2 linked regions of the Mus musculus genome follow. The protein of the gene in region 1 binds, or shares a complex with, the protein of each later gene. Links are inferred from orthologs where the notes say so. Each region holds a gene or a part of one and is shown in the gene's direction. Other genes may lie near its edges.

The links.
Region 2: the proteins of Lrrc7 (region 1) and Camk2a are in contact, whole or in part, in a crystal structure (PDB 6X5G), measured with the Homo sapiens proteins. The link is inferred for Mus musculus from reciprocal best matches to the Homo sapiens genes LRRC7 and CAMK2A. Residues at the interface, in NP_001357714.1 of Homo sapiens: His843, Gly844, Arg845, Arg846, Pro847, Leu848, Ile849, Arg850, Gln851, Asp852, Arg853, Ile854, Val855; in NP_001350919.1 of Homo sapiens: Glu96, Phe98, Glu99, Ile101, Val102, Lys137, Glu139, Leu159, Phe173, Ala174, Gly175, Thr176, Pro177, Gly178, Tyr179, Leu180, Ile205, Gly209, Tyr210, Pro211, Pro212, Phe213, Trp214, Tyr222, Gln224, Pro233, Glu236.

Annotation. Positions count from the first base shown.
Region 1 is NC_000069.6:158,163,151-158,166,968, reverse strand, and holds part of Lrrc7 (leucine-rich repeat-containing protein 7), read left to right. Parts: intron 1-2,582; coding exon 2,583-2,694; intron 2,695-2,896; coding exon 2,897-3,077; intron 3,078-3,818.
Region 2 is NC_000084.6:60,924,719-60,928,537, forward strand, and holds the start of Camk2a (calcium/calmodulin-dependent protein kinase type II subunit alpha), read left to right. Parts: upstream 1-913; 5' UTR 914-1,060; coding exon 1,061-1,122; intron 1,123-3,819. UniProt on the Homo sapiens protein: Calcium/calmodulin-dependent protein kinase that functions autonomously after Ca(2+)/calmodulin-binding and autophosphorylation, and is involved in various processes, such as synaptic plasticity, neurotransmitter release and long-term potentiation.

The DNA of each region.
Region 1 (3,818 bases):
TTGCGTATTATCTACATATCTTTTTTAGATAGGTAGCCCTCTGTTTCTCAGTAATTTTTGTTATTCTTCTAGACTCTTACCTTGGGACTCTCTTTCTCCATGTTACTAAGAGCCAAGATTCTATTTAAATAAAGGAAGGGTGGTGGAACTAAGAGAGAAAGGACATTTCACCTTTCCTCCCTCTACTTCATTCTCAACCAGAGACAGATTTAGATGAACTTCTTCTGATGAACCATTTAGAAAAGTTGATTGCTTTACAACCATGGAGGCAGCCTCGAAACTTTGCTTTCCTCAGCTTTGAACAGGGTCAGAAACTCATATCCTAGTTGGGCCATGCAGAGCCCTGGTCACAAATTTTAAAAACTGACGCATAGGAGCAAAATATGTTAAATACTGAATTGTAGAACATGAGGTAAAAGAAGTAATGTCAACAGTCTGTGTTGATATGACTGCTTGATTTTGTTCTTGTATCTCATTTTATTTTCATTTTGCTATTTATTAAAAGAAGAAACTCTTTGATTTGTATTAGGTGTCATCTAAAAATGCCTCCTTCCCAAGTTGTTTCATACAAATAAGTTACCTTTACCTTCATAGACTAGACAGACATTAGCACTAATTCTATTACCTACCACCTTCATCTGATGAATGTGTTGGATGCAGGTCTGAGAATGCTTCACCTTGCCCAAGGTGCCTGATTAATAAGTGATGAGGCAGAAACAGGACAGAGAAACAGTACCCTGTGATTGACAGGCCAGCATGTCTTGGTCCTTGCACAGAAGTGCTTCTCCAGCTTGCATCTTCTTATTAATTCCTCCCAAGTCATACACATGCTTTTACTCTTTATTATACCAACTTAAAATTTTACTGTGCATTTGTTGTGCTGAACTTAGAAATTCCATGGAAATTCATATTTCTCTCTTCAGCCCTAGGCTTTTCATCACCCTTTTTCTCCTAGGATCTCTTTTGAATCAGATCATTTGCTTTAGGTCCCTGATACAGGGGGTCTCATTGGGAGCCTCACTCTGGAGTGGGGACTAGCTGTGTGGGAACCCAAGAGGACCACATTGAGAACCGCTGAGTCTTTCTTAAGTGTTTTTCTGTGCCCCAGGTCCAGGGAAAGAGTTGAACTAATTGATAGGATCATCTTCATCTTGAAATATAATTCTTTTAAAATTGATTAGTATCAGTCAGATGTTGGTTTTTCATAAGAAAATATTCTCATACACTGTCAAAAACAAGTTCAAACAAAAAAGTTTCAGTCAAGAATTAAAGAAATGGATGTGTTTTTTCTGAAAGACCAGAAACCTATAGCCTGTTCCTTTGAGTGTTTCTGCCCATTTATTACACCAACCAAACACTAGACAAATCTTTCCAAATTCCTACTTTATCTAAGTGTATCCTTCTCCAATTCAAGAAAACATCTCTACTTGTGTTGGTTCAGTGCTCCAAATTAACAAACACACACAAACAAACAAACACACAAACAAAACCTTGAATGTTCTTTGAATTCAAATTATCATAAAGAAGTTAAAAGACACAGCTGTGTGTATAGAAAGTGGAGATTTAAATTTTAGCTTTCTTAATGTTCTCCTGATACCTGTTTAATTGGAAATGATCTGAATTCTAGAAATTAAAACTCATGGAATTTATACACTGATGAGACAACTCAATGGCTGAGAACTCTGGTTGCTTTTGCAGAGGACCCAAGTTCATCAGCACCCACAGTGTTAAACTCCAGTTCCAGGAAATCTAATGCCCTCTTCTGGCCTCCACAGGAATTGTATACAAATAGTGCATTTATGTACATGCAGGCAAACCACTAACACATAAAATGAAATAAATCAAGAGGGGGGATTTCAAAGCTTCTGGAACTTTTATATTGTTCATTTTTTATAAAGTCATATTCTTGCACCACTGCCATTTATCACATTCAACATTCAATATGCAATGAAGATTAAATAGGTTGAAAATGGCCATGAGAATGCTAACAACCCAGGAAGGAGAAACAGCAGACACACAGTGACTGCCGACAGCCACCTGAGACACAGCAGGGATTGAAAAGCAGAGGCAAGGGCTGCAGGAGTGCAGGGGTGCAGGACTACTGGGATATTGTAATGGGGTAGAACAAAGATCCTACTGGTCAGCAATGCCCTTCCTACTTGGAACTCATGGGAGTTCGGCCTCTAGAATTCTCACATCCAATATCTATGACTGAGCCACACTGCCTGTGGAGGGCGCAGCATAATTCAATGCCGTGTTGAAATGAGTTCTGTTCCATCTCAATTAGATTGGAAATTCCCAGAGGACCATGTTGTATCTTTCTGGGAAACCTCCACAGTTCTTTGCACAGTGCCAGGCATACAAATTGCATCCAAAAACACATCTAATGAATAAATGGGCTCATATAAATTAGAAAAATAATTAGTGCTCAATTACAGACACAGAGGTTATTTTGCAATGCCCCGTGGTGAATTAAAGTCTAGGGCCGCATCTTTGAGTCTGAGCCAAATAAGATATTGCCATCTTGGTTAACCGTTATTTAAATGTTTACTTTCCTTGTCCTGTATTATTATATCTCTCAGGATTCTTTTGTTCATCCAGCTAATGAAATGAGGATTGGGGAACTTCACCCTTCATTAGCTGAGACCCCTCTGTACCCACCCAAACTTGTTCTGCTAGGGAAGGACAAAAAAGGTAACATCGTGAAGCCGATGTGGAACTGTGCCCGATGCATGTGCATGATAAATCGCCACTTATACATTATGACATGCCATAGTCTATAAGTACTCGCACACGTGTGCTTCTGACATTAATCCATATGGAATCTGCTTTTCATACATCTTTTGTATCCGTCAGTGTTCGTAGCATTGTAACATGTTTCCCCTTTAAATTTCAGAATCAACTGATGAGTCTGAAGTTGACAAAACTCACTGTCTGAATAACAGTGTCTCCTCAGGCACCTACTCAGACTACTCGCCCTCCCAAGCTTCCTCGGCATCCTCTAACACCCGGATGAAAGTGGGGTCCTTGCAGGCAACAGCTAAAGATGCCGTCCATAACTCTTTGTGGGGTAACAGGTGTGTTGAGAATTTCCCCTTCTGGGTTCCCAAATGTTCGTTGTCAGCAATTTTGACAAAGTGGAATCTGCTTTATGTTGGAATTGTGTTTGGCATGTGAGTTGCACAGAACACAGAATATGCAGGTAAGCATGTGGGCTCACCTGGGACTTTGGAGGGCATCAAAACCAACTTCCAGGGCCTGGCATCCATGCAAGGCCAGTGGGAAGAGGCTATGGGAAGTCACAGTGGGAACTAAAAGCTTGAAAGTGAAAATTTGTGTTTGACCATCCCTAATATATATATATATATATATATAATTATAAGTATGTATAACTCAGCATTATTAGCAAATGAATTCACATACTCTGGAAAAACAGGCATGCTGGAAGTGGCCACTGGCTCAAATGTGCTACTAGCCCCAAGCATAGTACAGTCAATATGATAGACAATCCCTTGATATAGGCCAATAGAATTCTATAGGCCAATAGAAGACTATGAAATCGTGAGAAGAAGGAAGAGATCTTAAGGGAGGAGGAAAGAGAAAGCAACAGCACACGTGACAAGAAGTGAAAGGGAACACTTAGGGAAGAAGAGTAAAGGAGAGGACCGAATTAGAACAAAGTCTAATAGCACCCAAATCTGAAGATGCTTTTTATGCTATTTTTTAATTAATTATTTATCTACATTCCAGATGTTGCCCCCTCCCACAATTCTTCTTCCCACTCGCCCTCCCCTCTGCCTCTGAGAAGGTGCACCACT
Region 2 (3,819 bases), on another chromosome or scaffold:
CCACGTTCACCTCATTATAGTTGCCTCTCTCCAGTCCTACCTTGACGGGAAGCACAAGCAGAAACTGGGACAGGAGCCCCAGGAGACCAAATCTTCATGGTCCCTCTGGGAGGATGGGTGGGGAGAGCTGTGGCAGAGGCCTCAGGAGGGGCCCTGCTGCTCAGTGGTGACAGATAGGGGTGAGAAAGCAGACAGAGTCATTCCGTCAGCATTCTGGGTCTGTTTGGTACTTCTTCTCACGATAAGGTGGCGGTGTGATATGCACAATGGCTAAAAAGCAGGGAGAGCTGGAAAGAAACAAGGACAGAGACAGAGGCCAAGTCAACCAGACCAATTCCCAGAGGAAGCAAAGAAACCATTACAGAGACTACAAGGGGGAAGGGAAGGAGAGATGAATTAGCTTCCCCTGTAAACCTTAGAACCCAGCTGTTGCCAGGGCAACGGGGCAATACCTGTCTCTTCAGAGGAGATGAAGTTGCCAGGGTAACTACATCCTGTCTTTCTCAAGGACCATCCCAGAATGTGGCACCCACTAGCCGTTACCATAGCAACTGCCTCTTTGCCCCACTTAATCCCATCCCGTCTGTTAAAAGGGCCCTATAGTTGGAGGTGGGGGAGGTAGGAAGAGCGATGATCACTTGTGGACTAAGTTTGTTCGCATCCCCTTCTCCAACCCCCTCAGTACATCACCCTGGGGGAACAGGGTCCACTTGCTCCTGGGCCCACACAGTCCTGCAGTATTGTGTATATAAGGCCAGGGCAAAGAGGAGCAGGTTTTAAAGTGAAAGGCAGGCAGGTGTTGGGGAGGCAGTTACCGGGGCAACGGGAACAGGGCGTTTCGGAGGTGGTTGCCATGGGGACCTGGATGCTGACGAAGGCTCGCGAGGCTGTGAGCAGCCACAGTGCCCTGCTCAGAAGCCCCAAGCTCGTCAGTCAAGCCGGTTCTCCGTTTGCACTCAGGAGCACGGGCAGGCGAGTGGCCCCTAGTTCTGGGGGCAGCGCTTCAGCATCCCAGCCCTAGTTCCCAGCCTAAAGCCTCGCCTGCCTGCCCAGTGCCAGGATGGCTACCATCACCTGCACCCGATTCACAGAAGAGTACCAGCTCTTTGAGGAACTGGGAAAGTGAGTCACACCTCAGGGAGTCCTAGAGAGCATGGGGATCAGTCTCCTTGGGCAGGGGGAGGGGGCGTGTGCCTATGTGGCCAGAGCTGTCCCGTGCATGCAGAGGGAGGTGTGCAGCATGATTTGGAAGCACTGTGTATGCATAGGGTGTCCAGAGTTAGGCGCTGACACATTTATGAGTCCAGTCAGCCTGGTGTGTGTGTGTGTGTGTGTGTGTGTGATGGAAAGGAAACAGATTGGTGGTGTATGCACACACCTATGCATATAAATACACATGACCTGGGTTCACAAAGATATCTAGAAACTTGGGGTTTGAAAGGGATTTTCCCACTTGGCTGGATCTGAGCTGGAATCTATTTTTGTAGTTGTACTTAGAAACCTCCAATGACAAAGAAAGTTTGCCACCCCCTGACCTGGAGATCTTGTCTTTAGACACTGTGCAGAGTGGCTAGCTTTCTCCTAGCACATCCCCTCCGGCTTCCCCAGATACCTTCCGGGAGCAACAGCTTCAGTACAGAAGGAGTTAATATAAAGCAATCACAGTGTTGGGAGGAGGGGAAGGACAGTCAGCCAGCCGGGGGGTGCCACTGTGGCACTGACTATACAAAACAACTGTGGTCCTTTGGCAAAGTTGCCCATCGTGTTATATCTCAGGAGGCTGAGAGGAGAAAGGTTCCCTCCAGAAGAGCAGCAGGCTACAGATATAAGAGAAGGTTTCTAGATGTTCCCAGCTAGGTTATGGGGTCCTGGGTTGGATCAGGAGTTGGGGGAGCAGTTTGGCAGAGTGCCCCACGGATGCATACGTGCTCCTACCAGTCCTGTTTGGTTCCTGCTGTAGCGCAGTAACATGAGACAAGGGGCCCTGTGAGCAGATGTGTCAGTGTGAGCTCCTGCAGGTACACAGATATTGAGGAGAGACTATATATGAAATCTGTGTGTGTGGGGGGGAACAAATGGAGTTGTGTAAGAACTGACACTGGGCACACTGCAAACTGAAAGGGCAAACACTGGTGCAAGTAAAACAAGAAGAGATGTGTGTGTCATTTGCATGGCAAGCCCGCCCCCCTCCAAAAAATGTTCATGCGCCCTGCAAGGGTGCATGTGTGCAATTATGCAAGGGTTGTTCTTGGCTAGGTGATGTTGCAGCAAGGGTATGGACATGCATCTGTGTGCACATGTGTGGCAGGTCAGAGATGGATACTCTCAGTGAATGTGTGTGTGTGTGTGTGTGTGTGTGTGTGTGTGTGTGTGTGTGCGTGCGCGCGCGCGCATGTGTAAGGTCACAGATGTGAAATGTGAACAGAATGTTCTTGAGTGTGCATGTATCTTGGGGACTATGTAAAGGAAGCTGTGTGTGTGTGTGTGTGTGTGTGTGTGTGTGCGCGCGCGCGCATGTGTAAGGTCACAGATGTGAAATGTGAACAGAATGTTCTTGAGTGTGCATGTATCTTGGGGACTATGTAAAGGAAGCTGTGTGTGTGTGTGTGTGTGTGTGTGTGTGTGTGTGGCCTAGGCTCATGGGCTCATGTGGGTGTGTGGGTGTTGTAGGCATGTGTGAGCTTATGCTGGTGTCTGCATATGTGTGGGAGGTGGACCTATGGCTGTGTATAAGCACAGCCCCTGAACACACTCACACAGAGAGAGAGAGAGAGAGAGACAGAGACAGAGACAGAGAGACAGAGAGAGAGACAGATGGAGAGACAGAGAGGGATAGAGAGACAGAGACAGCTCCCTTGTGCAAATGTGTATTCATATTTGTCTACAGACTTTCTGCTGTTCTGCGTGTCTTTGCGTTGGAGGCAGGGGTAGGGGCAGGAATGTAGTTTTTAGGGTGGCTCAGGAGAACTGTCTTTTAAAGTTTATCTGGGACCCCTTTCCAGAGCATGTCTAGTGTTCCCTTGGAACCTAAGGATTTCTTGAATAGTCAGGAGCTGCCTTTCAGGGGCCACTGAGGCTGGTTCAGGCAAGACTGCGTCACAGAGCGCAGTGGAAGGAATTAAGATGGGACTTCAGGGATCACAGTGACAGTAAACTGCTCTTTTGCCCTGAGAAGAAATGGGGATCATTAGAACTAGGCTCTGTGGGCTGACTTTGCCTTCTCAGCCCCCCCCCCCCGCCTTCTTGGATACTCAGAGGTGTCAGAGAAGGGGCAGAGGAAAACTGAGGGTGGCAGGGACGCCTGGGTCTTGTTCAATCAATTACAGATCTCCTCCTTCCAGAACTATTGGTGCTTTTAACCTTTTTTTAGGTCACTTATTCCTCCAGGATTCAGATGAAAGTCTAAATAGATATTCCCTAGAAAAACGTATAAGCCTACAAAATGTTGCTTGCAGTGTCAGAGCTTGTGGGACCTCAGGAAACAGTGCACCAACCTGTGCTTGAAGATGCTTGGGTGAAGGAGAAGGGGCTGTGGTGGGCCGGCTTCTGTCTGGTGTGTCCGTGTGACACAGGCCAGGGTACCCTATGAAGGATGAGCCCTGTGGCTTTTGCTCTGCACCTTAGCCTTGGCCTGAGCATCTGGTGGGGTAGGGAGGGGCTGCCCTACATGACCCTTAGCTCTGTGACACTGGGCAGGCTGCCACTCTTTCTGACCTGCAAGCTGGAGATTTAGAAGACTGGGAGGAGTATGTAGATGGCATGTGAAGACACAGCCTCAAGCCTGACACGCAGTAGGCATTTGGCAGGACGTTGCTGCTG